Linked DNA regions of Tamandua tetradactyla. The protein of the gene in region 4 interacts with the protein of the main gene of each other region in a pairwise test. Links are inferred from orthologs where the notes say so. Each region holds a gene or a part of one and is shown on either strand. Other genes may lie near its edges. The genes, in order: NDUFB11, LNPEP, BNIP3 and FATE1.

Evidence for each region.
Region 1: the proteins of FATE1 (region 4) and NDUFB11 interact in binary tests that used the Homo sapiens proteins (3 or more experiments, as listed by UniProt). The two-hybrid records come from large-scale screens. The link is inferred for Tamandua tetradactyla from reciprocal best matches to the Homo sapiens genes FATE1 and NDUFB11.
Region 2: the proteins of FATE1 (region 4) and LNPEP interact in binary tests that used the Homo sapiens proteins (3 or more experiments, as listed by UniProt). The two-hybrid records come from large-scale screens. The link is inferred for Tamandua tetradactyla from reciprocal best matches to the Homo sapiens genes FATE1 and LNPEP.
Region 3: the proteins of FATE1 (region 4) and BNIP3 interact in binary tests that used the Homo sapiens proteins (3 or more experiments, as listed by UniProt). The two-hybrid records come from large-scale screens. The link is inferred for Tamandua tetradactyla from reciprocal best matches to the Homo sapiens genes FATE1 and BNIP3.

What each region holds. Positions count from the first base shown.
Region 1 is NC_135353.1:123,090,914-123,098,597, reverse strand, and holds NDUFB11 (NADH dehydrogenase [ubiquinone] 1 beta subcomplex subunit 11, mitochondrial), read right to left. Parts: upstream 3,007-7,684; 5' UTR 2,692-3,006; coding exon 2,485-2,691; intron 927-2,484; coding exon 796-926; intron 614-795; coding exon 487-613; 3' UTR 386-486; downstream 1-385. Other genes in the region: RBM10 (RNA-binding protein 10), read left to right, coding at 3,456-3,549, 5,341-5,482. UniProt on the Homo sapiens protein: Accessory subunit of the mitochondrial membrane respiratory chain NADH dehydrogenase (Complex I), that is believed not to be involved in catalysis. Complex I functions in the transfer of electrons from NADH to the respiratory chain.
Region 2 is NC_135347.1:34,099,849-34,106,884, reverse strand, and holds the start of LNPEP (leucyl-cystinyl aminopeptidase), read left to right. Parts: upstream 1-4,017; 5' UTR 4,018-5,229; coding exon 5,230-5,329; intron 5,330-5,808; exon of another isoform or gene 5,809-6,109; coding exon of another isoform or gene 6,110-6,113; intron 6,114-7,036. UniProt on the Homo sapiens protein: Release of an N-terminal amino acid, cleaves before cysteine, leucine as well as other amino acids. Degrades peptide hormones such as oxytocin, vasopressin and angiotensin III, and plays a role in maintaining homeostasis during pregnancy.
Region 3 is NC_135339.1:94,575,856-94,583,283, reverse strand, and holds the start of BNIP3 (BCL2/adenovirus E1B 19 kDa protein-interacting protein 3), read left to right. Parts: upstream 1-4,417; 5' UTR 4,418-4,592; coding exon 4,593-4,638; intron 4,639-5,884; exon of another isoform or gene 5,885-7,428. UniProt on the Homo sapiens protein: Apoptosis-inducing protein that can overcome BCL2 suppression. May play a role in repartitioning calcium between the two major intracellular calcium stores in association with BCL2.
Region 4 is NC_135353.1:3,542,143-3,549,449, reverse strand, and holds the start of FATE1 (fetal and adult testis-expressed transcript protein), read right to left. Parts: upstream 3,018-7,307; 5' UTR 2,912-3,017; coding exon 2,806-2,911; intron 1,711-2,805; coding exon 1,580-1,710; intron 1-1,579. UniProt on the Homo sapiens protein: Involved in the regulation of endoplasmic reticulum (ER)-mitochondria coupling. Negatively regulates the ER-mitochondria distance and Ca(2+) transfer from ER to mitochondria possibly implicating it in the regulation of apoptosis.

The DNA.
Region 1 (7,684 bases), about 120 Mb from region 4:
CCTGAGCCACCATGTAAGAAGCCCAGGCCCTTCTGCTAGAGAGGAAGGCCATACAGAAAAAGACTCAAGTGCCAGTCATGTGCCTAAAGAAGTCTTGGACATCCAGCCCAGTTGAGCCTTCAGATGGCTCCAGCCCCAGCCACCATCTGACTGCAACCACCTGAGAGATCCCAAGGAAGAACCATCTAGGTGAGCCCTGCCAATCCATAAATACACGAGAGAGAATAATAAAGTGTTGTTTTAAGCTACAAGTTTTAGGGTGGTTGTTACACAGCAATAGATAGCCAGAACACCAAAAAAAGGCTGCAAGTGGCCCTTTTAAGGCTTGTGATACCAGCCCCCTGCCAGCCTCCCCTCCTCGACAAAATCAACAGCTAGCCAGGCAGACTTTCAGTCCCTTTAATCATCAGGTGCTCTGAGGAGATGGCAGGATGGTGGGAGGGGAGTGGAGAGGGAGGTGCTTCCAGAGCCCCACTCAGCAACTGGTTACTGCTCATCCTCTGGCAGCTGGATCTTGCTGGGGTCAAAGCAGTTGGATTCCATGAGGGGGAGGCCATTAGCTTCGCGGTACTTTACAAGCCTCTCCGCTTCCCGGCGGGCCCACTCTCGCATCCTGGAGATGGCAGCAGCAGGAATAGACAGGAGGGAGCCTCACCAAACACCAATCCAATCCCCCATCTCAGCTCCCCTTTCCCCAACAGTGCAGGAACAGGATTCCTGGCAGAGTTCCCTTCAACCCCGACCCTTGCCTCTGCTCCCCCCCACCCATCCCACTCTCTCAGACTTCCCATGTACCTGTAGTCAGGCAGGTAAGCCACAAAGGTGCTGCCAAGGACAAGGACAATGGAAAAGCCAAAGAAGAAGACGGCCCGCATGTTCCAGAGGTCCACAACAGGGTCCGTGTCATAACCATGGGAGTCTGGGTTCTGTGGCAGGATGATGATATCAATGAGAGCTTCCTGCTTTTCCATGAAGCCTCATGCTGGCCCTTTATAACCTGGTTTCCAATCTCACCTCGGACCAACATTCTCTCCCTCACTGTATTCCTCTCTTTCTATTTTTAGGACATGCCAAGTTTCTTCCCATCACTAGGCCTTTTGCACTTGCTGTTCCCTCTGCTTTTCTCCCAGATCCAGTCATGGCTGGCTTCTCCTCACTCAATTCCTTTAGGAGGTGTTCATTAATCACCTTATCGACTACATTGAACCATATGAAACTACCACTTAAAATGGTTGAACGTTGGTAATTTTCTGTGGTTTCAATCTAATAAGGTAATTCCCAATCTCCATGTCACTCTATCCCCTTATGCTGCTTAACTTTCTTTTCATTTCTTTCTTATGCTGCTTAACTTTCATTTACCATTATTTGAGATTATTTACCAAAGTAACATCTGCCCAGATCCTCTGTATCACATTATTGTATTACCTATTATATTATTCTATATTATTGTCATCCAATAGTTTACATGTTTATTTTTAAGTCTTCCCCCAACATCACTTAAGCTCTATGAAAGTACAGGCTTTGTCTGATTTCCACATTGCTGTATCCCTAGGACCCAGAACTGTGCCTGGCATACAGCAGGCCCTCATTACATATTTACAATGAGTAAAAAGTGAATAAGCGTTTTGCAAATCTAACTCTGTAAACCAGAAATTAATTCTGATGTGGTACCTATTATGTGCCAGGTCTTTTTACATATGCAAACCTCACAATATCCCAACAGGCAGAAAGTGCCAATAATAATTTACAGCTTCTAAAGCTGAGTACTTACCAAGTACAAGCTGCTGTTCTGACCATTTTGGTTAATTTAATTGCATGAGGCAGGTATAGTATTCTATTCTTTAGATAGTGTTTTTATTACTTCCCCATTTTACAAAGAAAACTTAGGCACAAGAGGTTGAACCACTTGCCCAAGGTCACACAAATGAGTAACTATTAAGTGTCTGGATCCGAACCCAGGCCATTTGACTTTAGAGTCTGTTATTAATACAGGACAGCAGACCAGTAGACCTAGGTTCAAATACCTATTTCCACCATGTATTCAGTTATGTTATGTTAGCTGAGACAAGCATCTAACATCCCTGCGCTTGTTCTCGCATCTGTAAAATGGGTATATAATAGTGTCTATCTCAAAACATTATTGCTTCTTAGATGAGCTAATGCATATAAAGTCCTTAGAACACTGCCTGGCAGAATAAGCGCCATATTGGTGTTTAATATTATTGTTGTTATACTATATTGCTTCTAACGTGGTTTGAGAATTGCCCACTTCAAGTTTGATTTCTGTCTGCAAAATAATGCCAATCCCGCATCTGGCCCTAGACCAGACTCTCAGGGGACAAATTAGGCGAACAAGCTAGGCAAAATTCATAGAGGATTTCGCCAGCTGCGCAACCTTCGGTCAACTAAGAACGTCCTCTACTGCGCTCCGTCAGCCTGCTCCCGATTGACCCTTTCGACGTCCTAGTTCCCCCTCCCTCTCACCTTCTCGTAGAGGTTTTCGTCCTCGGGATCCGGGTCCTCCTGCCAGCGTATGGTCGGTTCCCGAGTACGCTTCTCCGCCACGACAGGTGGAGCGACTACAGCCCGAGAAGAGCCGGATTCCCAACGGACACGGGCAGCCGGGAGCCCCCGCGTCGCAGCTGCAGCCAAAATGCGGCGAGCGTACAAACCTAGTTGCCCGACCGCCATGATAGATTGCTCCGTAGTAACTTAGGGGCGGGGACGGCAATGCGATTCTGCGCAGCTGCAGTTTGCGCGTGCGCGATATTTGTCGCTCCGCCGCCGCCGCAGTAAATAAGTCTCAGGTCTGATTTTCTTTTCAAATGAGGCGGGGCGCTGCGTGGCCCTCTTTCCCTCTCTCTGTCATGTCCTGGAGGGACCAACCCTTCTCTTATCCTCTCCTTCGGGCTGAGGAGTTTCTTATTGACAGGTCTGCTCTCTTCCTTGATGGGAAAAAAGCGGTGTCATTTGGGTGGTTCACAGCCAATCGCACAGCGAGTTCCCTTGCTGTTTGGGGAAGGGGCGGGGCTTCCGTTTGCCTTTCATCTTCAAAGGAAGCCAAGCTTCTAAGAAGCGGGCCTCGCGGGATTGACCAATGGCCACTCTTTTTCTCGACTTGCGGGCGTTCGCACGCGGGAGTGGGGAGGTGGCATTCGCTTGCCAATCAGAGGAGGCCAGGGTTGGCCGACCGCGGGCGGCGACCAATAGACGAGGACCGGCGGAGCGCGCTCCCTTAGTAGGTGGATGGTGGTCGAAGCACCGGTTCCCTTCTCGTCGTCGCCATTTTGTGTGGCTGTTTGAGATCGACTGGGAGTAGGTGGCAGTGGGTTTTCCGGGGAGGGTAGCGCGTCTGGCGCTTCTCCCTTCCCCTTTCTCCCCTCCTCCTCCCCTCTGCCTCCAGCCACGGACTTGGTGGTTACGCTGACCAGCTCCGGCTGAGCTGGGAGAGTTGGATGCGGTGGCGACGGGCCGAGGTGATGTCTGGGAGCCCTCCCGTGACAGCCCGGACCGAGAAGGTGAGCGTCGACGCTGGTCTTGAGGGTGGAGGTAAGGGGCTGGGAAACGGGGTGCGTAGAGGAGCGCAAGGAAGGACTGCGGGCCAGGGGCCTGGAGGGTGCGCGGAACTGAGGGATGAGTGCACAGTCTGAACCCGGGAGAGGGTGACTTTTTTTTTTTCCCCTTTGAGACCAAAGGCGCGTGCGCGATTGGGACCACGGGGATGGGTGCACGCGAGTTGGGGGAAGGGAGGGAAGGATGGGAGTGGGTTACTGTGGCTTACTGTCAGTGACGCTGGGCTTTATCCCTGGAGAGTCGGGTGTCTGCGACTTTAGTTTTTATCCACAGGGGAGGGGATGTGCTGTCTGCTCGGTCTATGTGACTGGTACCTGTCTATCAGTGGGGACATGTTTTGTGGCTCTGGTCCTTATTCGTGAGCCGGCGGGGGCTCATAGTTTGTACGACTCCGCTCTTTATCCCTAGGGTATGTCTGTGACTCTGGTCCTTACTCATGTGGGGTAGGGGGTGGGGGGGCAGTGTCTAGGCCCTAACCCACTTATTGAGTGTAGGGAGTGTATGTGTGGTTTATTGCCCCTTCTTTTGAGAGGTTTCTATCTGTGACTGTGATACTTATCCATTGAAAGGGAGCTCAGTGTGTGATTATGGCCCTTATTTATTGCGGGTCTCTATCTGTGATTTCTGCCTGTAGTTATTTGGGGCTCGTATCTGTGACTTTGGCCTCTATCTGTTGTGGCTCTGGTTCCTTTGCCAGAGCCTGTATCTGGGTTTCATCCAAGTGGACCCCTGGTTGTGATTCTAATCTTTAGGTATCTGGAGATAGGTAACTCTGGTTCCCTGTGGCTTGAGGAGGAAGAGAAAATTGGTGTGTGTATGCATGGGGAAAGGTGTGGTGGCATCCTAGTGTTGGGCAGGTGCTGTAACCGATAGGCTTTTCTCAGATTCCTGTTCACAGGGTGGGGCCTGAAGATTCAGGATATATCATGACCCTTGGCTGGGTCACATGGCTCCGCAACCCTCAGGGTTGAGTGAGTTGACTGACTGCTCCTCTGGCCTAGCAGAATAGCACAGTGGTTTGAAACAGCCTCTGAAAGGGCCCCTGTTACGTCTGAGAAGACTTGGGCCCAAACCCTGGGGAGAGAGCCACTTTGGGACCTGGCTGAATATTAGTTTGACCCAATTGCCCTGTGAGAGCCAAAGCTGAGCTGGCCAGGAGCCTAGTGAGACAGCAGCTATCTCGTTGCCAAATTAGCCCCCACCCCCCTCCTCACCCAAGAATGTTTCATGGTCTCCTTCCTGTCCCCTTGCAGAATCTTGTTAGGAGGACGAAATGGCTCCTGGGGGCCTAGAAGGAGCCTGGTGGATGCCTGAGACTCCCCTTGCTGTGGAGTCTCACCTCTGTACTTAAAGTGTCTATTCTGTGGCAGGTCATTCAGCGCTAAGCGCTCCCCTGGGCAGGCAGCTTGTCTACAAGTCTCAGGTGGCAAATCCCTGAATACTGGATGGGTGGGTGACATCACTACCCCTCCAGTCTCCGAGGTCTGTGGCCCCTCTGAGTGTTCCAGCTCTCTCTACAAGATGCTCTCCTATCTGATGACGGTCTTGCTATTTCTAGGGAGAGGGCTCTAGCCACGTGTTTGTGGAGAAAGGAAGAAGGAGGCCAAGCAGTAGTTGTATTCCCATTTTGGTCTACAGGAGTACTAGGAGTTGGAAAACAATGTCCCAGGCTAAAGAACAGCAAAATATCTGGACAACCAGAGTTTCTCAAGGAGACCTTTTCTGCCCCAGCTGCCTTGACCCCTTTCTTTCCTCCCATCTCCCTAGAGTCCCTACAGGAGGAATCACCCAGGCTGGCAGATCATGGTGGCAGCAGTGGGGGTGGCTGGGAAGTGAAACGGAGCCAGCGGCTAAGGAGGGGCCCCAGCAGCCCCCGCAGGCCCTATCAGGATATGGAGTATGAAAGACGGTAAGTTATCCTCCCCCACTCCTACAAAGCAGTTTAGGCTTGTCCCCAAGTGAGCATTGGTTCAGGAAGATGCTAGGAAAGGCCTTGCAGACAGAGGAAATAGCAGATGATTGATTTATTTTCAGTAGACATTTGACACCTTTTGTGGGCCAGGAACTGTGCTAGGCTCTAGGAATGCAGTGATAAATGAGACAAATAAGGTTTCAGCCCTGTGTTACTCAGGGTCTCACAAGGGAGATGGTACAGTTTGCAGGTGATTACAATAAACACAGTGGATTCCATGGTTGGATATGAGGTTGGGAGGGGATCAAGAAAAAGGTAGGAGTTGAGGCTGATCCCACATTTCCAATTTGGTTGACCTGGATAGGTATGTGGTGTCATTTACTAAGTTGAGGACAGCTGCTGCAGGAAGAGAGGCAGAGGTTGGGGTCAGATGAGTATTGGGTTGTAAGTGCCTGTGGGTCAGGAGAGAGATTTGGAAGATGGGTAGGGGTGGGACTTTCAGAGTCAGGAATTTGTCCAGGTCAAATATGGGAAAGGCCAGGTCAAATAGTAGGACACTCCAGGGATGGAATGGGCAGAAGTTGGTGTCATACTTGTCTTGGAATGGACTCTCTCATTACAGTTATTTTTAAACTCTGGTATGAGCAAGAAATAGTTGGGTCACTTGGTAAAATACTGAGAACTGGGCTATTTCCTCATCATCCTGGTAGATCGCCCCCAGGTGATTCTGTTTCAGGTGATCTATCCATGACATTTTAAGATTGCATAGGAAAGAAGAAACCTAACTCTCCCAGTCAGAGGTTTTATAAAAACTCAGGGAGAAAAAATAATATGTAATGTCTTAGTTTTTCACTACTGCCCCTTTTAAAAATGTAAGATTAAAATATTTTGTTTTTTCAGACGTGAAACTGAATTTGAGATGTGGTCATCATCCAGTGTTATTCAGTCTTGACCTTCTTCAAAAGCATTTGATTTTGGACTGTATTCACTGGAAATGTTCTATAGCAGTTTCTGAGTTTGAGTAGGTGACATACTTGATTCAGACCTTACCAGTTAAAGCCGCTGGCTTTCTTTTGGCTTTGAAGGACCTTGAGTGCAGAGGTTTGAGTTACTCATACCTTCCTGTTCAAGATAGGTCTACTTCATAGGTCAGAACAAGACCCCCTCTTGCCATGTGTTTTTTCCTTTTACATACCCATTTCCTATTTGTAGGCAACTGCTGTCTTATTTGATAAAATATGTAGTGATAGTTACTTTACACAAATGGCATAGTGCTACAGTCTTCATTCTGTTTCCTAAACATTTAATTACACTGTATTTTTAAGACTGTCTCTGTTGCCATGTGTATATGCTTTGCTTCTCATTGTTGGCAAGGATATCATGGGGTGTGCATACTGCATTTTATTTAATTATTCCTCCAAGAATGTGTACCTATTCTTAATTTCATGCTAAAATTCATCACTTTTTTTGCTTTATAATTTGTGCTGTCAGAATAATTCTCTTTTCTTACCTTGGATCACAAAATTCTTTTCACTCTGTAGCTTTACCTTTCACACTTAGGTCTTCAATTCATCTACAGTCCACTAATGAATATAAGGTAGGTTCTGTTTTATTTTCTTTCATAGTATGAGCAGTTTTCCCAGTACTATTTCCTAAAACAGTCCATTCTTTCTCTATTGTTTTGTGGTTCCTCCAGTTCAAGTTCACTTATGTACATTTATCTGTCTTGAGTGATCTGATTTGTTCTGTTGGTCTATTTGTGTATTCTTGGGCCAAAATCTTACTTTTTTATTATGGCTTTATAGAATGTCTTAATAGATCCCTCTTTGCTCTTATTTTTTAACGTTGATTTAGTCATTTGTGGAACTTTGTTCTTCTCTATATAAAGTTTAAGGTCTTCAAGAACATGCAATAAGAATTTTGATTGAGATTGCATTGAATTGGGGGAGAATTAATTTGGGGAGAATCATCATCTTTGTAAGTAATCATCTTATCCAAGACCTATATAAAGAATATTTTAAAATTTGTTTCAATGATATAAAAATCTGAGTAGATGAAAAGACAGGTCTTGCCTATTCTTTGTTAAGGTAGTTCCTAGACACTTTAGCAGTCTTTCTTGACATCTTATTTTATTGTATTTTCCAAGCTGGTATTTGTGGGAATAGAGGAAAGTGGTTGGTTTTTATAAGTTATCTTATC
Region 2 (7,036 bases), on a different chromosome or scaffold from region 4:
CTTCTTCTCCCATATGAAATGAGGGAGGTGATTCTAAATTCAGCACTCCTGAACTGTGCTTTATCTGAGAAGCCAATCACAGTGTTTCTAGTTTCCGGGCTGCTAAAACAAATACCGTACAATGGGCTGGCTTAAACAATGGGAATTTATGGCTCTTGGTTTTGAAGCTACACGAAGCCCAAAATCAAGCAAGGCATTTGTTTCTCCCCAAAGACTGTGGCATTCTGAGGCTGCTTCCATTCATCCCTCAGCCTTAGCTTTTCTGCCACATTGCAAAGCGCGTAGAGAGTCTTTCTCTTCTGGGTTCTGTTGACTTCCAGGTTCTGGCTGCTCCCCATGGCTTCTCTCTTTGTGGCCTTCACTATAAGGACCTATTAGGATTAAGACTCATCCTGATCCAGTTGGGCCACCTCAACTTAAGTAACCTCATCAAAAGGTCCTATCTACAATGGGTTGGCACTTATAAGAATGGATTAAGTTTAAGAATATGTTTTTCTTGGGTACGTAACTCCAAGCCACCATGTCTGGAAGTATCCACATTTTCATTTCCAGTGGTGGGTTTAGAAATGTATGAAACACAGCTTTGGCAAATAAGAGTATTTTTGAGAAAGTTTCTTTACGCTTCTTAAGAGACACTAAAGAGAAAGTTGCTTCTTCTTCCCCGGCCGCCTCTTGACCGCATGGCAGTCAGTGTCTTGGAAAAGTACTCACACTGAGGCCACAGGGTGGAGAGAGTGAAAAGATGAGTTCTTGAGATTGTAGAACTATAACTGGAGATTGTCTTTTCTCTGCACGTTATGGGAGATAATAAATTTCCTTATTATGTATACTCTGGTTTCTCTTCAGATCGTATAAATCTTTCGCTTTTTACTAAAGATTTCCGTGGAGAGAAGCACCTCTGAGTCTTAAACCAATTTTTTGAGGCCCTGTTTAGGCAAGGCTAATAAAACAGTTAAAAAAAAAGAGAGAGAAAAAAAATTTTCCTTATTATGTAAACTAGTTTGATATGGGGTTTTGGTTTTTGTACTCCAAAACATCTGAAGGAGTACATAAATGTTCCTTCCTGTATTAGTTAGGGTTCTCTAGAGAAACAGAATCAACAGGAAACACTTGCAAATATAAAATTTATAAAACTGTCTCACATAACCGCGGGAATGCAGAGTCAAAAATCCGCAGGGCAGGCTTTGAAGCCGACGATTCTGATGGAGGGTCTGGATGAACTCCACAGGAGAGGCTTGCCAGCCAAGCAGGAAAAAGAGCCTGTCTCTTCTGAATCCTCTTTAAAAGGCTTCCAGTGATTAGATTAAGCATCACTCATTGCAGAAGACACGCCCCTTGGCTGATTACAAATGGAATCAGCTGTGGGTGCAGCTAATGTGATCATGATTTAATTCTATGAAATGTCCTCATTGCAATAGACAGGCCAGCGCTTGCCCAACCAGACAAACAGGTACCACCACTTGGCCAAGTTGACACATGAACCTGACCATGACACTTCCTATGTAATGACTTTTCTCTCTACTCAGCTGGATCTTTCTCTTATGGCTAAGTGTACAAGAATTCTTTTGGAAAATTATTCTCCCTTCCTTAGTGCTGTAAACAATTCTTAATTTGGTTTAACTTCCAACATCAATTATAAATTCTGAGTATGTATCTGTGAATGGGTGGCAGGGGTAATGAGATATTGATTGATTCCTTTGGTTTTGGGGGTGGCTGGGTAAGGCCTGGGGGTGGCTGGAAACTTCACTGTGGTCATGCTGGTTCTGGCAGCAAGACGCTTCCTCTATTTATTAAAGAGTGCTGAACAAACACTATCATTTTCAAATATAGGCACTGAATTGACATATTGCTTATTTCAGAAAAATTAGAAAAAATATTTAATAATGCTAAACTCAAAGTTGATATGGAATATCCTTCTTGTAGCCTGTAGGTCAGCTGTTTTCCTCTTTACCTCTTTGATTTTGTGGATTGTTTTCATTGACCCTAATTTCTTCACAGGAATAGGGAGGCAATGGCAAACTCTGGAGCACTGGTTTAGAACACAGACAACCTGACTGGATTAAGGGTAAATCATCTAACCTTTCTAGAATTCAATTCCCTTCTCTGTCAGATGTGACGTTTGGATTATCTGACCTAGAGCAGACCAATTACTTTATTTTGATAAAAATGTCCCTACATTCATTAACCAGCATGCTTATTGTTCTTTATAACACTGTTGGTTATTTACAGCACTCATTTTTTTTCTTTCATTCAATTACTATTAGCCCTCTAAATTTCTGTTTTTTAAATGTTTAATGATTCTGAAAATAGTACATGGGTATATTCATTATCAGACCTCTTCTGATAATGAATAGTAACTTCCATGGTAACTGAAAGTGTTAGAAACTTAAAGAGGAAGTTCTGTGTGGGAGGATGAGAGGAGGTCAAAGAAAGAAACATAAATGGGTTTCAATATTAAATTTCTGAAATTATGTTGCCACAAGTTTTATTAAGTCAAGTATAAAATGGCATCCAAGAAAACACTGAATAAAACAAATTTATTATTGTTCTTTTGAGGGAGATAGGATTCTGAACAGATTTTGGTTTTGCTACTTAAAAAAAAAATTAACCTCCAATACAGAATTGCAAGTCTTTAAATGCCCCCTTAATATCTTTGTGGTGGTGATGGGGTGGGTGTGGGGCTGGGGGCAAGGAGTGTGGCAGACGAGATTGGCAAAGAGAGGATAACGAAATTACTTGCCTGTTTAGGAAAGACATTTTGATTCACTTATATTTGCTAGTGCGATGGTGAAACATTTTTACCACAAGTCTCTGCAGAATTAAGACACTTCAGACAAAATACCAGATAACGTGTTTCACACATAAAAGCATGATAGACCATAGCTTTACAGGTGAGGTAATTCAAGGAGCTGTTGAGTTTTAAATATCTCTGATACTAAGTGCTTTGACTGCAAAAATAACCTCAAAGGAACATGACCTAAAATTTAAGGAAGAGTTTCTTATCTAAACAATACAGTGTTTTGTTATGAGATCATTTTAATAAAACCCTTTTCTGAATTTTCCATATAATATGGGAATACTTAGGAACCTATCCTATTTTTGGCTCTGAAGTTCCCTACACCAGGCCAGCCTAAGGCTGTGGGGCAGTGGCAAGAAAGCAGCCTTGAGTTTTCATACAGAAAACTTCTCTGTACTGATCAGAAATACGCATTCTCCGGAAGGGTTTTGGTCAGTAAGAGCGAACCAGAACTTTAAATACCATTGCATTCATTCACTTATTAATCCAAAAATTGTTTATTACATATTTATCCAGGCACCAGAAACAGCTGTAGAAAAGGTAAAATAACCCTGCCTTCCTGGAGCTTGTATTCTTCAGGGGAAAATAGACAATAATTAAACGGTAAACAAAAAGCATTGTTTTAGATAGTGATGAAGAAGACAGTTGCGAAGAAAACAAAACAGGACAAATCTATACATAGACAAATTTTGTCTGTGGCTATTTTAGATTGTGTGGTCAGGAAAGGCTCTCTACAGAGGTGACATTTGAGTTGAGACCTAAATGACAAGAAGGAATCAGCAGGCAAAGTACCAGGCAGAAGGAACAGTTCCTGCACAGAAACAGGTAAAAGCAATGACTAACGTTACTGGATAAAACTTTTTGAGATTTCGGAAACGGCATGAAGGCATCTGTGGCCAAAGCACTGCAAGGGTAGAAGACGAGGTCCCTGACGCATATGAGGGGTTACGATCTTATTCTAAGCGTAACTGATGCCCACTGGAGGTTTTTGAAGAGGGATTGGGAGATGGGTGATATTCATTTCGTATTTTAAAATACAGTATCCCAAATGGCCACGCACTTTGATTTTACTTCTTTAAAATTTAACTTCTAATTCCTGTACGAATTGAACGACACCCCGGCCACCTCTGTTTTCTCAGGCTGTTTGCGCTCGCCGCGGGCTGGTTTGCACCCGACGCTCCCCTGTTGACAGCCTCGGAGGAGCATGTGACAGTTGGCAGGCGCAGCGAGGGGCAGCCCGAGCCAAGTCGCTGCAGGGGCCAGGGCTGCGGGAGGGGGCAAGGAGAGGAGGCGACGGCGGCCCTGCGCACAGCGAGGAAGGGAGGCGGAAGAAGCGGGGCCCCCCACGGGCCTCCCAGGGGTCAACGGGGCCTCAAGATGTTCCCGAGTCTCGCCAGGAGTGCCCGGAATCGACATCGGAAACAATGGTGGCTCGGGGCTGGACACCATGGCGCTAGGGCTGGAGGTGGGGGTGAGGGGTGGGGAGGCGACTAGGGGAGTTTCGGCTCCTTGGGCCTAGCAAGGCGCGGCCTCAACCTCAGCTCACCCAAGAGCCGCAGGTGTTGATTCGAGGCTCGGGTCCCGCCGTCCTTCTGCCCACATCCTGTGGCGCACGCGGCCCGGGGCCTGGAGATCCGGCGCCGGGTTTTGTGATCCGCCCGCATCGAGAGGCCGCACCCGAAGCCGCTAACCCTAGGACCCGACTCTAGGCCCACTGGGCCCTTCGGGGCTCCCTTCCCTCCCGTTGGACTCCAGGCGACCGACCGCTTGGGGCCACTGTGCTGAGGAGAGCTGCGGCGCCCTTTCCCTCGGGCCTTGGCGAACTGAGCTCCTCGGAGACCAGCTTCACAGGGAAACCGATGCTTCGCGGTCCGGAGTGCGACCTTCGCCCGCAGGCTCCTACTCTGTCTTCAAACCTCTGGTTCAGAGGCACCGGCTCAGCAAGTCCTGTCCTCCCGACGCCATTCGAATTAGCCACCCACTCACTCTGCATCCCACCACCCCGATTTAATGTTTTGCGGTACATTTACTCCATGTGTCTTCCGTGTTTGTTTTTTGTCTGCTCTGGAATGTACGTTCCACGGAGCAGGGACTTTTCCAGGCGCAGTATGGTGTTCCCGCAGCCTAGAACGGGGTCCGGGCCCAGGGAGCCCACTGACATTTGGTGAACCACAGGCTGCAGTTCTCGGCCTTGGAGAGCAACAGAGCCGCGGCCTCTTCGGGCGAGGGGCGGGGCTTGTGGCCCCTAGGCCTAACTTTCTACTTCCGCCTTCTTTCCCCCGGTCCCCCGAGGGCTGAGCCTGAGCCTCGCTTTGCCCTCAAGCCTCCCTCCCTCCTCCTGCAGCCACCGCAAAAACCCGGAGCCTCGAAGCAGCGGAGCGGCGCCACCCCTCGCGGCACCTCCCTGGCAGCCCTCGGCGGCCGCGCTGGGCATGCTCAGTCGGCAGGGCCGCTTCAGCTGGCGGAGTAGGAGTCTTAGGCGCTCCGGCTGCAAGGAGCCGCGGCGGGGTAAAATGGAACCTTTTACCAATGGTGAGTGTGGGAGGCCCGAGGCGCCGGGGTCAGGCTCTCACAAGCTCTCTGGGTTGCCGGCAGCCGTGACACGCGGGGACGGGTTTCAGTTGCCCCCATCGCGGGTGTCTTGCCTGGGTTTAGGGGAGGTGGTAGGAAGCTGGGGGCGGCAGCGGCCAGCGCGGGGCCGGGGGGCTGCCCCGGGTGGGAGGTGGCTGGGGGTGGCCGGGACCCAGAGCTCCGCTGTGCGGCGGGGCGGACGGACGCACAACAAAGTTTGGGCTGTTGTGCGCAGAGGAGGGGACAGCGGGAAAGTTGTCTGCCCCTGCTTTCGGGATGGTAGGGTTAAACCGTGGCGCCTGCCAAACCCAACTTCTGTGGCACGCCGGGCTCTGTCCCCTTGTCCTTCAGAGAGTTGCCGGCGTGACTTTTCCTAATAGGGCGGTGGGGGGGTGGGGGCCTTGGCAGACCAATGAGTGGAAGGAGGGGAAACTTGCGGGAAGCCTTGCTCACCCTCTGCCGAAGAGAGATGCCTATCCGCATTGCCACTTTCCTGTCTGTTGCTGAGGCGCTCTGCAGAGCGTTCGGCTTCCTGCCTTCCTGATAATCAGCTTTTCAGTCAAAGACTCGTTAAATATCAAGAGTCCGTCACGATGATATCACAATTTGGGTTGAGGCGAGAGTCAAAGCAGGAGCCTGCACGATGCCCTGCAAACTGCCACGGCGCTTTACTGAATGGAGTCCCATCTCTAATTAAAACGATGGCTTTTGTTTGCACCAGGAGTGCTAGAGTCACAATATATGGGTGAGATGTCTTACCATTGTGCGGCGTTGAGTATAGGATGCCTTTTAAGGATACAAAGTAGGAAAACTGTCAAGGGAGAATTCACGCTAAAATTAAGTAGATTCACTTCCCAGTTGATGTGTGGTTCATTACTTTCAGGTAGTTAGGCTATAGCAGTATCGAGGCCGGTCTCATCCCTGTTTGAATTGTCAGTTACCAGTCAAAAGACAGACATTGTCCACTCTATCCCAAACCTCAGCCAGACTTTGTTGTATGCTGTGCTTCGTTCATGGGGTCGTTATAACTACTCTGTCCCTAATTCAGAATGCTTTATTCTGCTGCCATCTTTCTGTCTGAGCTGATTAATTAGGTTTAATAATGACAACTTTAATTCTGAATTTTCTTTCTCATTTCAATTCTATTTGTAATTACTAAGGCTCTAAGAGTAGTCTGGTAAAGTTATCCAGAGAATCAAGGAAGATTTGAGCTGATTGGAGCCTTAGAGACCATCTAGCACTTTAGTATTATAATATATATTATAATATTGCGCTTGAATATTCCAGTGCTTATTCTTCCATAGATTTCTTGTTTGTTCTAGATAGAATGCTTGTAGCTTCCATGTTGGTAGGATTTTAAATGTACAGTTTCACCTAAATAAAAAAAGAAAAAATCTCTGTAGCATGGCTGCATCACCCATTTGCTCAAGATTATTAGTTGCTCGTTTGATGAACCTGCCTCTACAGAATTGAAGTACATTCTCAAGTCTTAAAATTTGGGCCTGTTTTCTTTTCATAGAATACGCTGTTCTAGATGTGAATATTTGCAAAATTGTCACATATGGGAGGGCAATGGAAAAATCCCAGGGTGGGGGGGTGGTAAGAAAAGGAAGCAATGCTTCAGCTTCTATGTAGGAAATTGGATTTCTAATCCTTGCCTATGTTTCA
Region 3 (7,428 bases), on a different chromosome or scaffold from region 4:
CGTACAGTAATTATACCTCAATAAAGCTGTTCTTAAAACTATGTCAGTTTAAGGGCACACAAAGCCTGAACCTGCCTCTGACTTTGGATATCTGAGCTGCTGCGTCTCCTGTTCTCTGTTCTCCGGTGAAACACTGTTGTTGTTTTGTCTTCCAGAATGCTAATAATGCTGGTTCACCCAGGACCCAACTCCAGCACTCCTCTATATTGTCGGCTTATTTCCTTGTATTTCCTTACTGTCATTTCAATCGGATTTTAAGAGCAAGACAGAACTAAAAGAATACGGTCCCTTGGAAACCATAAATCAGATAAACATTTGATATCCCGTATACATAAAGAAATTACACAGCTCAACAACAAAAGAATAAACAACTCAATTATAAAATGTGCAGAGCATATGAGTAGACACTTTTCTGAAGAGCAAATACAGATGGCTAAAAGCTCATGAAGAGCTGCTCACCTTCTCTAGCTATAAGGAAATGCAAATTAAAACTACTGAGATACCACCTCACACCTGTAGGAACAGCTGCCGTTAAACAAACAGGAAACTACAAATGTTGGAAAGGATGTGGAGAAGTTGGAACACTTATTCACTGCTGGTGGGAAGGTATAATGGTATAGCCACTGTGGAAGACATTTGGTGATTGCTCAAAAAATTAAATAATGAGTTGCCCTATGACCCAGCAATGCCAATACTCGGTATATACCCAGAAGAGCTGAAAGCAGTGACACAACAGACATTTGCACACCGATGTTCACAGCAGCATTATTCACAATTGCTAAGAGATGGAAACAATCCAACTGCCCGTCAACAGAGGAGTGGGTAAACAAAATGTGGTTTGTCATACAATGGAACATTATGCAGCCGTGAGACGAAATGAGGTCCTGGAGCTCATGACAGCGGATGACCTTGAGGACATGATGCTGAGTGAAGCCAGCCAGACACAGAAGGACAGGTTCTGTGTCATCTCCGTATTATGACCCTGGTAAAGTTGAGAATGTCGAGGCTCAGGTGAGCCACACGAGTTGCTCTGGATTATAGGGCAAGAAGTGATCAGCTCGGACAGAAGGTCACTGCAGCGTCCTCTGATATTTTGTGCACTGTGATCTGGGTGAAGCCCATGGGGACAGCTGGGGAGTGTGGTGCTCTCCTGCCCGCATTGCCCTCCCACGTCCCTTCTTCTCTCCCTCCTTTCCTCTCTCTTTCTGTCTCTTTTTCTCTCTCTTTTTTTCCCCTCCTCCCTTCCCTAAAAGTAAAAACAGATAAAAACAAACATCTAAGTCCCCATGCCATTCTCCCCACTGTAAAAAAAAAATATATATATGGCACCTCTACCATCTTCTTCCTTACTTAGGTTTCTATATATATTGATTTTCCCCTCCATTCATCCTTTAAACAATTTTTATTGTGAAAAATAGCAAACATATAAGAGTAGATGGAATCAAATGAGCCTCTATGTACTTATGACCCAGCTTCAACACCTCATGGCGTCTATACCTCAATCCTCCACCTGCCCTCTCTGCTATTTTGAGGCAAACCCCAGACATCATATTTCTTTACATAAATATTTCAACATGTAACTCTAAAAGTTAGTAACTCTTAAAAATACCTGACCTGTGTAAATATATCTCAATAAAAATTGCGTTTAAAAAAAAAACACCTGACCACTATACCCTTATCACACCTAAAAGTAATTAACAATAACACTAATTTTTTCAAATAGTTACTTTGTGCTCAAATTTCTCTTTCTCTCTCTCTCCCTCCCTCTCTTTCCCTCACCCCCACGCCAGCCAGTGTCAGGAAACAAATCCATCTCCTTTTTCCCCTTGCAATTTATTTGTTGAAGAAAATGAGTCATTTCTCCTATGCTTTCCCACAACCTGCATTTTGCTGACTGCAGCTCTAGGCCAGCACATAACATGCTCCTCTCTCGTCTGTGCTCTGAATTTGGCAGTTACCTCCAGAGGCTTGATTAGATACAGGTTTTTTGTTTGTTTTTTAATAAATTAAAGAAGTTGTAAGTATACAGAAAAACCATGCAAAACCAGGTTTAATTTTTTTGTGGGGGAAAACCAAACTATTTCACACGCTGTGTTAGGGCCTTCTATGGGGGGACAGAATTTCTGGTTGACTTTGTGTTATTAGCAGCTGTTTGTGATCGATGAGTGGATTCATTCATTCAGGAGGAGCAGCAAAACAGTGATGTTCTCATCCCCATATTCTCCCGTCATTTAGCTGGACCACTTCTGTAGCTAAGGGGTTGGGGGAAGCTTTCCCCTTTTCACTCGAAAGGCAAAGAAACCACCAGCCTGATGACATTTCCTGTCTCCTCTTTGAAGAGCGGCTGGTGTGGGCAGAGAATCCCAGGGCCCTTGGCCTCTCCCCGCTTGTCACCAGGGCACATGGACTCGCTCTGCCCAGCCTTCCTTGGTGTGGTAGTTAGGTTCAGGTGTCTACTTGGCCTGGTGAAGGTGCCTAGTTCTGTCGCTGTGGACATGAGCCAATGGCTTGTGGACCTCATCTGTTGCTGATTACGTCCACAGTCGCCTAGGAGGCCTGCCTGCTGCAATGAATGATGTTTGATTTAATTGGCTGGTGCTTAAATGAGAGACTCAACGTAGCACAGCCCAAGCAGCTCAGCATACCTCATCTCAGGGCAAGCAGCTCAGCCCAGGCCTTTGGAGATGCAGAAAGGAATCACCCCAGGGAAAGTTGTTGGAACCCAGAGGCCTGGAGAGAAGGCCAGCAGGGATCACCCTGTGCCTTTCCATGTAAGAAAGAACCTCAGTTGAAAGTTAGCTGCCTTTCCTCTGAAGAACTGCACATTTTTAATGAAATAAATCCCCCTTTATTAAAAGGCAATCCATCTCTAGTGTGTTGCATTCTGGTAGCTAGCAAACTAGAACACTTGGTCACTGTGCCTCTTGGGCCATGTGTCCTGCAGCTGCAGTTGGCACCTCTGCTGTGGCCACAGCTGCGTTCTGCTTTTGTTGGTCCATTTTTCTCTTCTGGAGCAGCAGTGAGGCTGTGTTTCAAGTCATCCTGGGGGGAGGGGGGGTTCCCGGGTGCAGACCTTCCTGATTGGCCTGGCACTCAGTCCCCAGACACGACCTCCTGCCCTCTCCTGGTGTTCCGCCTGCACTGCACGCCCCCTCCCCAGCCCACAGTGTGCCAGAGTCCGTCCCAATCTCCAGGAAGCCTGTGGCCAGAGGTCTCTGGCCCCAGACCAAGGCCAGCCAGGCCAAACACACCTCAGAGGACCAAGCAGGGGATTCTCCGAGCGCTGGCCGCTTCCTCCCCTGCTCTCCACCACCGGGGCCCGCCGGGCACCAGACAGAGCCAGGCCCCATTCTCGGGCTGCTGCACTGAAAGTCTGAAGATGTCCTAGGGTGTCAACCGCAATTTGAGGTGAAAGGTGAGAAAGGATGACGACTCCTGAGCGTGCGGGCAGCCTGTAAAGGAGCCTGGCTGGGGCACTGCCTTGGAGTGGACACAAGTGGCTCCCAGAGGGCAGGAAGAGGTGGAGGGGCGCAACGTCAGGGCCGCCAGTGGGACTTGGGCTCCCAGTTCCTGGCCAGGCTGAACCCCTCAGCCTCCCCAGTCCCCCAGTGGGTGAGGTTCCCCAGGCGGCATTCCCACACAGAGGAGCGAAGGTGCAGCCTTCCGGAAGGCGCCACATAGTTTGGGTCTCTAAGTGCACAGCAGCCACCTCCACCTGGAAGCCCTGCCGGGGTTCTATTGTGGGGGTAAGGGAGGAGAGCGGGACGCCCAGAGGCGCAGCCGCCCTGGAGCCGGTGGCCCTGCTTCCTGCTTGCCCAGACCTGTCTTTGAGTGTGTTCGGGTTCGGGTTCAGACCACATTAAACAGAAAAGGGTTTCCTCCTGAGAGCCGCAGCCAGCCGCGCGCCGCCGCCTCCAGGTCTGCATCGCCTGCGGAAGGAGGGCTGGGTTACCGCCCCGAGAGGGCCGCGAAGCTCCGCGGCAGCCGCGCCTCTCCAGTTTCCGTGACTGAGCAGCTGCTGGGCCTAGCGCACCTCAGTTTCCCCGGCCTCCATGCGCCCCAGACCCCCAGGCCCTCGGCCACGCAGCTCGCGGCACTAGGTTCCATCGCGGGCCGCACACAGGCCCCGCGGCCGCCCCGCCCCCGCCTAGACCGCGGCACCCGGGGAAGCCCGAGAAAGCCTCGCCCCGCCCCCTCCGCCCTCGCCCCGCCCCGCCCCCTCAGCCTCGCCCCGCCCCCTCCGCCCTCGGCCCCGCCCCCTCCGCCCTCGGCCCCGCCCCGCCCCCTCCGCCCTCGGCCCCGCCCCGCCCCCTCCGCCCTCGGGCCCCCCCGCCCCCCGCCCCCCGGCCGCGCCGCACGCGCCGCACGCGCCCCGCGACCCCGCGCACGCGCAAAGGTCCCGCCCGCGGCCAATGGGCGACGCCGTCGCGGAGCCCACGTCGCGCCCCGGCCCGGAGCGGTCAGTCGGGGCTCGGACGGCGGAGCTGGGCCTGCGCGCTGTCTCCTCTGCCCGCTCTGCCCGCGCTCTCCCCGAACCGCTCGGACGCGCCCCCGCCCCGCAGACCCCGCGGCCGCAATCTCCCTCCGGAGTCATGTCGCTGAGCGGGGCCCCCGCGCTGCAGGAGGAGAACCTGCAGGGTAAGGCCGGGCGCGGGTCGCGGAGCCGGGGGCGGCCGGGGGGCGGGCGCGGCCAGGGGAGGCCGGGGGCCCGGGGGAGGCCGAGGGCCCGGGGGCGGCCCGGGGGGCGGGGTGGCCGGGGGTCGGGGTGGCCGGGGGTGGCCGGGGGTCGGGGGCGGCCCGGGGGTTGGGGTGGCCAGGGGGTCGGGGTGGCCGGGAGAGGCCGAGGGCCCGGGGGCGGCCCGGGGGGTGGGGTGGCCGGGAGAGGCCGAGGGCCCGGGGGCGGCCCGGGGGGTGGGGTGGCCGGGAGAGGCCGAGGGCCCGGGGGCGGCCGGGGGTCGGGGTGGCCGGGGGTGGCCGGGGGTCGGGGGCGGCCCGGGGGTTGGGGTGGCCAGGGGGTCGGGGTGGCCGGGAGAGGCCGAGGGCCCGGGGGCGGCCCGGGGGGTGGGGTGGCCGGGAGAGGCCGAGGGCCCGGGGGCGGCCCGGGGGGTGGGGTGGCCGGGAGAGGCCGAGGGCCCGGGGGCGGCCGGGGGTCGGGGTGGCCGGGGGTGGCCGGGGGTCGGGGTGGCTGGGGGAGGCCGAGGGGGTTGAGGAAGCCGTGAAGGCAGGGGAGGCCTGGGGGCCTTGGGGAGGCCGAGGGTCGGGGCAGCAGTGGGGGCCGAGCCGGGGGCGGCCGCTGAGCAGCAGCGCTTCCCCCCGGGAGGAGGACCTGGGGGGGGGCTCGGCTGTTGGCAAGAGTTAAACTGTGCGCAGTTGAAGGGTTAACTTGCCCCTGGACTAAGGGGTCCTAAAGGGAAAGCCCCGGCACATGGTTTTTCGGGGCAGGGCAGAGGTGACGGGAAATCGGGGCGCAGTCCCATCTTGAGGAAGTCTGTGAAGGAGCAGTTGGCCGTGGATAAATTCACAGTTTATTGTTGCAGTGTTTTAGGAAGTAGCCTGGGCAGCGCTGTGGTCTGCTGCTCGTAGGGTTCGGGTGGGGTGGAGTGGGCTTGGCCTTCTCGGGGCGCCGATGAACCAGCCGAAGTCATTCCGATTCCGGAAGGGGTGCTGTGGTGAGAGGCGCCGTGTCAGCCTGTCGTCCCCAATTCCAAATGTGTAAAAGGCTATTTAAAAAGACACCTTCTTGTCGAAACCGCTGCAGTGTGGGCCTTCCCCGCCGGGGCTGGGCAGTGGGCAGCGTGAAGGAGGTGTCCCCCAAGAGTGCGCTGCCTGGGCAGAAGTGCCTCCCGCCAGGCCCACTGTCCGCGGAGCCCCTGGGCAGAGGCTGCGGGTGCCGGACACCGCCTACAGCTGGCCCGCCTGAATTATTCCTTGTAGCAGCTTAAACCTCACGTCGCAGTAGAACCTTTCGAGTTTTCTTGCATTTTCTGTGGTTTGGCCAGTATTGATTTCAGCAAACAAATACTGCAAATTGAATTTTATGGTTTTTAGTTTTTAACGATTAACATTTGTATCTTAGCGACCATCTTTTTTTTCCTAAAAGAGGAAGGAAGGAAAGGGGGAAGGGTGTTTACCAATATTATATAGTGCTCCTTTTTTTCAGGAAATGAACATTTGAAAAATGATACAGGCATGCAGTCAGTTTTATTTTTAAGGTTGGTGTTCCATTTCTCCTGGAGGGTCATCGTGAAAACAGTGTAAAAGTTGACTTAGGGGTCAGAAAAGTACAAGAAGAAGGACGCTGTTCTGCCCCAGCTCCTTGGCGTTTCAGAGGCGGCAGGAGCCCCAGCCCTGGAGCCTGGCCCTGTGCGCCCAGGGCACCCCTCCCCCCCAGCAGGAAACCAGGGCTCCCCGCAGCTAAGGGGGGCCTAGGCTCAGCCCCCCTGGGTGGGTCTGCCCGCACAGGAATGCCTGGCACACCTGGCTTTTTCCTTTGGCCTCACTGACACAGCCCGGGCCCAGGGGGTGGGTAAGGAGCCTGGCCACTGCTGACTTTTGTCCTCTCTGAAGCAAGAGTTCGCCAAGCAAAGTGAGCGTGTAAATAAGCTCTGGAGAGGACTGTTGAGCCCTTTGAGAGTGCATTTGCAGCCTTCACTAAGGTGGTTGAAGTCCTTGGACTCTTCGGCTGTATTAGAAAGCTGCCTGTTGTTAAATTGTTTTTCAAGGTAAGATTTAGTTAGCCTAAACTAAATCTTTTTTATTGTATTGTATATGTACTTAAAAGCTACAACCACATATTTTAAACTCCTGTAGTTCGGGTCTTTTTTAGCATGGACTCATTCCCCCATTTGAAATAGATTAAGGGAGGTTTTTCTTTCTTTTTGTCATGGAGTAAGATCCATGGAATGTTTTATAAGTCCTTTGCCTTAAAATCACCCTTTTTCTAATGAACACACTCCTTTATTTCCAGTACTGCTTATTTTACCTCTTGGTTCAGACATTAAGCCTCAAGTTGAGGGTCTTTGGAGCAGAGTTTGGGGTCCTCTGGAGGGGAGCCCATCAGCTCCTCCCTCCTTGGTTTAGAACCCAAATTGCTGAGTCACTGGCCACACAAGACTGCCAGCTCAGGAATTGAAAGGTTTTTGTTTTTCTGTTTTGCTTCTTCTATAAAAAGATGGTTACCCGCAGAGTGGAAACTCGCATTGAGGATTCCCTGGGCCGCCCTCTGACTGTACGTGCAGCGGAGCACGCTCCCTGCCCAGCCCCGCCGGGAGCTGCCACTCCGGTCACATGGGACCGCCCAGCTGCCCCGAGACTGTGAATCTGCACTTGGCTTGCACAGCTCCGCTCTGAGTTGATTCTCCCTTGTTTACCTCTGAATGGAGGCCCGAGGAGGCCCTGGTAGCCGGAGCCCGTGGGAAGGGCAGCAGG
Region 4 (7,307 bases):
GAGAGTGGACAGTGGCAGGTTTTGTTTGTTTGCTTTAGGATAACATAGTTTGTTGCCAGCACTTCAAGATAGTAAGAATTAATTTAACAACAACAGCTCCAAGCTGATACTACCTTTTATTGTGATCACCTGGAATAAGATAAGTCTAAATGTTTGTTAACAGTTATTTGCTTTTTTGCCTTTTTATTTTTAAAACTCTGTTTGAAATTTTATACATTGTAAAATGTAAGGCTTTTATATTAATTTGATTGAGAATAGGAAATTCTATGAACTGCAATATGTCCAAATTTCCCGCTGTCAATTGTTTCAAAAAAGTGCTTTTTAAGGCTCACTATTTATTTGGCCCTTGCATGCTGCAGTTGTCTCAGAGGCACTGGCAGTTCCATTAATAGTTCTGTTTTATAATAAATCAAATTAATAAATCAAATAATAGTCTTAATTTTTAAATTCAATATAATGTCTGTGGGTTTTAAGGACACTTCTCTAGTTCTAATAGCTAAATTTAATTAATCGAGTGGTTATATCCTCCTGCGGTCTCAAGGGCAGGGGTGGCTTCCTGGAGTCCGATCTGCTGGAAGAACTTGATTTGGTTCCAGCCTTTGGACATAGGAAGTAAATCCAGTATTTCTGGTTTATATGCATTCCCAGCAGTCTCTGACCTGGGGGCTCTTTCTCTCTTTTTGCGTTCGGGGATGGGATCATTTAAGCATTTATTGTAACCTAACCCCTAGAAAAGTCAGGTCTCCCTCCTCCCCAACCTCAATGTCTTCTCCCAGTATTCTTTGCCACTATAAAATAGTCATTTTTCCTAGAACATTCCGTCACCCACATTAATGTAACTTAAAATACTGGCTACAGAACATAGGACTCACATGGTTCCCAGGACAGTGTGTTCATCCTCTAACCTGGCTATCTTTTCCCAGTAGGTTTTGCTGCAGTATAGCACAATTTTTCTGAAACATTTCCCCATCCACATTGAACAAAGCTTAAAGGATTGGCTACAGACAAAAGACAGTACTCACGTGATTCCCTAGAACAGTCACGTCTCAGTCCTCTTCTAAAATGGTTGCCCTTTCCCAGTATCCTTTGCAACAGTGTAACTGCCATTTTTTTCTAGAACATTCCTTCACTCACTTTCAGTGTAGCTAAAGGATTGGCTACAGAATAGTTACTCACGTGATTGGATTTCGTAACAGCCAGGAAGCCTAGAAGCCTCACTCACCTCGGCTTACAACTTACCCCCACCCCACATACATTTGTTTTGTTTTTGTTTTTAATCAAGGAAAGTGTCGTTTCACACACAGTACAGCTTTTACAGAATAGCATTTATATGTACTCTCCAAGCAATGAGTGCTTCAGACATTTTGAACTTCTAGGGTTGGATTCCCTGCCTGCCAAAGGACAGTTCTAAATCTTTCAAGGGTTCCCCTGCCCTCAGGTTCCTGCCTGGCACAAAGGAGCTTCTGCTGACCCCCAAGTCAACATCTGGACCTGCTGTACCTACCATGCTCAGACTGGAGACCTATAGCCAAAATTCCCATCCTTAACCCAGCCACCAAGTATCAAGTACCCCACATACAACCATTTTCTTGGGGCGGATGTCAGTCATATTCCAAACTGGTGGGGCTAGAACACAGCTGACAGTCTTGAGTTCCAAATTCTGTCGCCGCTGGTAGACTCCTAGGGACCAATATCCCTGCTCTGTCATTTCTAGAAGAAGAAGAGAGGTCCCAAGATAGAGGTTGTACCAAGGTTTTCTAGGTATAGGAACACCATAAAGAAGACAGCCCCACAAATTTCTTAGCAATCCACAGTACCCACTCACCCTTGCCCATTAGGCAGTCCCAGGCCTCAGTCTGTTCATCTGTTCAACAAGTCACCAAACATTTACTGAAGGCCAACCTCTGTACTAGGTACTGGGGAGAGAGCGATGACCACGAGATAAGGCCCCAGCAATCAAAAAACCCAACCAGCTATGTGTGTACTAAGCAGAGTGAAAGTGCAAAACAAAAATAACCAACCAGGCAATTTCACATAGAGAGATACACACTCCCAGAACAATAAAGGCAGGGTAACATGCAGTGAAGAAGGGGCTACTTGTAGAAAAGTAAGAAACAACATTGAAGCAGAGACCTTAAAGGGAAAAAGAACCTGGACATGGAAAACCTCCACTGAAGCTGTCCCCTCAGAGCACGTCCTGCCTCCCTTAACCCCTAGTTCTCAGGCAGGCACATGGCCTTTCTCTAACCTGGCTCAGCATTGCAAGAACATTCCCAGCAGAAGCAACAGCAAGTACAAAGGCTGCAAGAAAGGAACAAGCTTGAGGTGTTACAAGAAAATATAAATGCCCTGTGGAGTGGGGCCCTTCGTGTGCTATACACATTGTATGTTGCATGCATGCTGTGACAGGGAGAAGGTTGAAGGGACAACACTGATAGGGCCATGGAGACCATGGCACAGAGTTTGGAGTTTATGGTAAAGTCCAAGGGGAAGAACTGGGAGGGTTTGCAGAGAGAATCAGTCTGACTGATTTGATTAATTGACTTGAATATTTTGCAACAGACACAGTGAGAACTTGGACCAGAGGAGACAGAGGGTCCATGTCCACTGTTGTTTCTGCCCTCCACCCACATGGGATGCTCAGAAGCTCCGAGATAAGGGGAAAGCTGCAAATGCTTGTACACCAAGGCACAGACACATGCTCGTGCCCACACACACATACAGACATACACATACAGGTGCAGATGTGTGTCCACACAGCTGGCCATCTCACCCAAGGATGAGAGCATTTCAGGGGATCCTCACCTGCTGTTGTCAGGCACTCCTGACTTTGCCCTTGGCCTTGAGGGCTCACCTCCTTGGCCAAAGGCATTTCCATCTCCTCCTTGGTGTTAGTGGGCTCTCCTGCCATCAAAGCCACTTGTTCACTTGTAGGCTGTGGCCAGAGCTGCGCAGGGTGCGTGTCAGAAAGGAGGCACTTAGAAAACCACTCTTTGAGGGGTAGGAGCTCCAGGCAGATATATCTGGGCGGGCAGAAGGGTGGAGCCAAGAGACTCCCTCTCCACACTCAGGCCTTGGGCCCAGCACCTTCTGTTCTTGTTCTATCTTATTGACTGGGTCTGTGGCCTTCTCCCCTGCTACTCTGTAAGCAACTTAGGAGAAGAGATAACGCTCAAAACTTTGCCTGTGAGAACTGTTTGGGCTCAGGGGTCACCTGATCTGGCCCCATCTTGGGGCAGGTGGGGTCCACCCTCTATCATTTCTAGGGAGAGGCAAGGACTGGCATAGGGTCCCATAAATGGTGGCTGGCCAAAGCAGGGTTAGTCCCAAGCCTCTTGTGGCTTCTGTGAGGCCAGCTCTAGCTAAAGAGTCCAGGCTGCCCCCCAGCCCACCTCCACTGAAGCTGTCCTCCCAGAGCACGTGCTGCCTCCCTTAACCCCTAGTTCTCAGGCAGGCACATGGCCTTTCTCTAACCTGGCTCAGCATTGCAAGAACCATGAGAAAACTTCCTTCCAGCAAGCTCCCGGGACCACTCTAGAGAATAGCCACAGAGTCTCTAGGGAAGCTGTTGATGAAAAGAACTAAGCACAGCTGGGGCCAGGTGGGCGGAAGAGGAGGGAGGGGAGGAAGGAGGGAGGACGGGGGAAGGGAGAGGCTAGAGCTCACTTAGAGACCATTACATGATCTGGGGCTGGTTATACTTGTCCCTTGCCCCACGTGTCCAGCGCTGGGACTCAGCCCCCACCCAGCTGAACTGACGGGGACCCTGCCTCCATTCCTGGGGGCTCTCCAGGAGCCTTGCCCAACCCCATGCCAGCAGCTGCCATGAAACCCGAGCTTCCCGGAGGGCTTCCTTCTCTGCCACCCCAAAATCAAGCAGAGGCTGCAGAGAGCTGCTCAGTGGGTCCTGGGACACTAGGCAGCCATGGGTTTCTGACCTACCATGGTTGCCAGATTTCACCAAGAAAAATCCAGGATGCCAAGTTAAATTTGCATTTCAGATAAACAAAATTTTAGAAGCAGCATGCCCCATACATTATTTGGGAACTATTTATACTAAACAAAAAAAATTTGTTTATCTGAGGTTCAAATGTAACTGCATAGCTTGTATTTTATCTGGCTGCCTTAGGCCCTGCCCACCCTCAGCACAACCTCAAGATTTGACCTTGGGCAAATGTTTCACTTCTTTGGGCCTCAGTGCCCCCAGTGGGCAACGGGGTTAGAGGGCTGCCTGGTTGCGAGGGGCACTCTGAGTCAGCAGATGCTGGGCAGTACAGGCACTGGCTTGCTGCAGGGCCCTGAGCCACTGACCGAAGATCCTTCTGGCTGCCAACTGAGCTTCTAGGGAACAGGGAACCTGGGTCCAGATGCTCGCAGAGGCACTGCCCCCTGGTGGCAGGGGCACCCATCACTTAAGGCCAAAAACCTTGAGAAACCTATGGACCAGACTGGCCCAGACAGGACCAACTGGCAGGGACAAGAGCTGTCAGTTCCAGGGTCTGAGCTTGGTGAGGCCAGGATGGCTCAGCTCCCCTCTGCAGAGTGCCAAATTTAGACCCACAGAGGGCTGGAACAGGAAGGGCCCTTTGGGTAATGGCCCAACAGACAGGGATGCCAAATGCAGAGAGCACTACTCAGTCAGGTCTGCCGTGCAGGCACTGGCCAGACCAGGGCAGAGGCCCTGACCCCACTCCTCATGTTCCAGCCCACCCATCCCACATGGCATCATCTCTTTGATTCCCAGGTGTCCAAAGGCCTCATCACGGGCCCATGGGCAGCAAGGAGAGCAATTTCCAATCTTTGGCCTCCCCCAGAGGAGGTGGCAGGGAGTGCTTTCTAACTCTTCTGCTGCATTTTCTCAGAGTAAAAAGTCCCCTGGAGAACAGCTTCAGCTCCTCCCAAAGGCACACACACACACACACATACACACACACACCTTTTCTAGCCCACCAAGCTCCTCAGGAAATCGGCTTCACCCCTTGAAAATACCCGCTGCCTAAGGTTGCCAGAGTTAGCAAGTAAAAAATACAGGACAAGTTAAAGTTGATTTTTGTGTGAAAAAACAAATCATGTTTTAATGTAGGTATACCCCAAATTGAACTACTGCCCTGTATTTAATCTGGCAACCTTGGAGAGAAAGCAAGGACTATGTGACCCTGAGAAAGGAATTTAACCTCTGTGGGTCTCAGTTCTCATCACCCAAAAACCAGGGCAGGAGTACAGACATAGCCTGGCCCATAGAAGTTATTCCACAACCACTAAAATCCTCCTTATTTTAAAACAAATGAAGCAGAAGTCCTCAGAGGTAAAGTGACCCCTCTAGAGTCACGGGGTCTTTCTGCTCTCTTGCCCAAGCTCAGACCCTGGGAGTGCCCTCCAGGCACTAGGCAGCAGACGAAGACTTCCTTCTGTCGCCTTCCCTAATATCACTCTTGGCTCTCTTGGGGGTCCCCACAGCCAGTAAAATTACAAAGTAGATTGGAGGTGTTAGTCCCATAGTAATTTCTATCAGCCCCCTCCAACCATTCCAAATAAATGCACTACTCAGAGGAAAATGCTTTGCCCTGCTATGCAAAGTGCTTTAAGGAGCATTCCCAATCCCCCTTCCAACCAGATGGCTGCCTCTACGCTCTCCCCTCCTCTGGAGAAATGTCAGCAGTAATCAAGCCCCTCTAGGGACTCTGCTCCAGTTCACGTCCAGCAGACTTGTCTCCTCTCAGCCAAAAGCAGAGGGCAGCTGGCGCACTTCCCAGGGACACAGGCTTTCCCTTTTGAAGCAAAGAGTTGGGGAGACTTCATTCCCAACCATGGGCATCTCACCATCTCCACAGGCCTGCCTCACTTAGATTGACCACCAAGGATGGCTGGAAGGAAGAGAGAGAACTTGTCCCTTAACGTTTCTCTCAGACATGCCAATCTTTTCCCTCCAACATCACCAGTTCCTTCTGAAATTTCCCTAAACTCTCATCCAAAACATTTTGAAATTCCTCCACTCTCTGGTGTGGTAACTATGGGGCCCTGTGCAAGTGATGAGCCACAGAGACTGAAGACCCCAACGGAAGGTTCCAGAAGAGGTGCACAGGGGCCTGGTGCCTCGGGAGTCTCCCCATGTCTGAACAGATGTACAGACATTTCTCAGAGATATTTCAGATTCAGTTCCAGATCACTGCAATAAAGCAAGTCCCATGAGTAGTTTGGTTTCCCAGAGCATATAAAAGTTATGTTTACACTACACTGGAGCCTATTAAGCATGCAACAGCATTATGTCTAAAAGAACAATGTCCAGACCTTAATTCAAAAAGATTTCATTGCTAAAAAATTGCTGCCCATCATCTCAGCCTTCACCAAGTCATAATCTTTTGCTGCTGGAGAGTCTTGCCTCGATGTTGATGGCTGCTGATTGATTAGGGTGGTGGTTGCTGAAGGTTGGGGTGGCTGCAGCACTTTCTTAAAATAAGACAAAAATGAAATTTGCCACATCGATTGACTTTTCCTTTCACACAAGACTTCTCTGTAGCATACAATGCCATTTGATAGCATTTTGCTCACAGTAGAACTTCTTTCAAAACTGGAGTCAATCCTCTCAAACCCTCCCACTGCTTTGTCAACTAAGTTGATGTAATATTCTAAATCCTTTGCTGTCATTTCAATAATGTTCACAGCATCTTCACCAGGTGTAGATTCCATCTCAAGAAACCATTTTCTTTACTCATCCATGAGAAACCACTCTTCATCTACAAAAGTTTTATGATGAGGTTGCAGCAATTCAGTCACATCTTCAGGCTCCACTTCTAATTCTAGTTCTCGTGCTATTTCCACATCTGCAGTTACTTCCTCCACTGAAGTCTTGAGTCCCTCAAAGTCCTTCATGAAAGTTGGAATCCACTCTTTCCAAACTCATGTGAATGTTGATGCTTTGACCTCCACCCACGAATTACAAATGTTCTTAATGGCATCTAGAATGGTGAATCCATTCCAGAAGGTTTTCAATGCACTTTGCCCAGGTCCATCAGAGAAATCATTACCTAAGGCAGCCACAGCCCTGCAAAATGTATTTCTTAAATAATAATCCTTGAAACTTGAAATAACTCCCTGAGCTATGGGCTGCAGAACTGATGTTATGTTAGCAAGCATGAAAACAGCACTCATCTTGTTGTCCATCTCCATGAGAGCTCTTGGGTGACCAGGTGCATTGTCAATGAGCAGTCATATTTTGAAAGGATTCTTTTTTTTCTGAGCAGTGGGTCTCAACCGTTGGTTGAAAATACTCAGTAGGCCATATTATAAACAGATGTGCTGCCATCCAA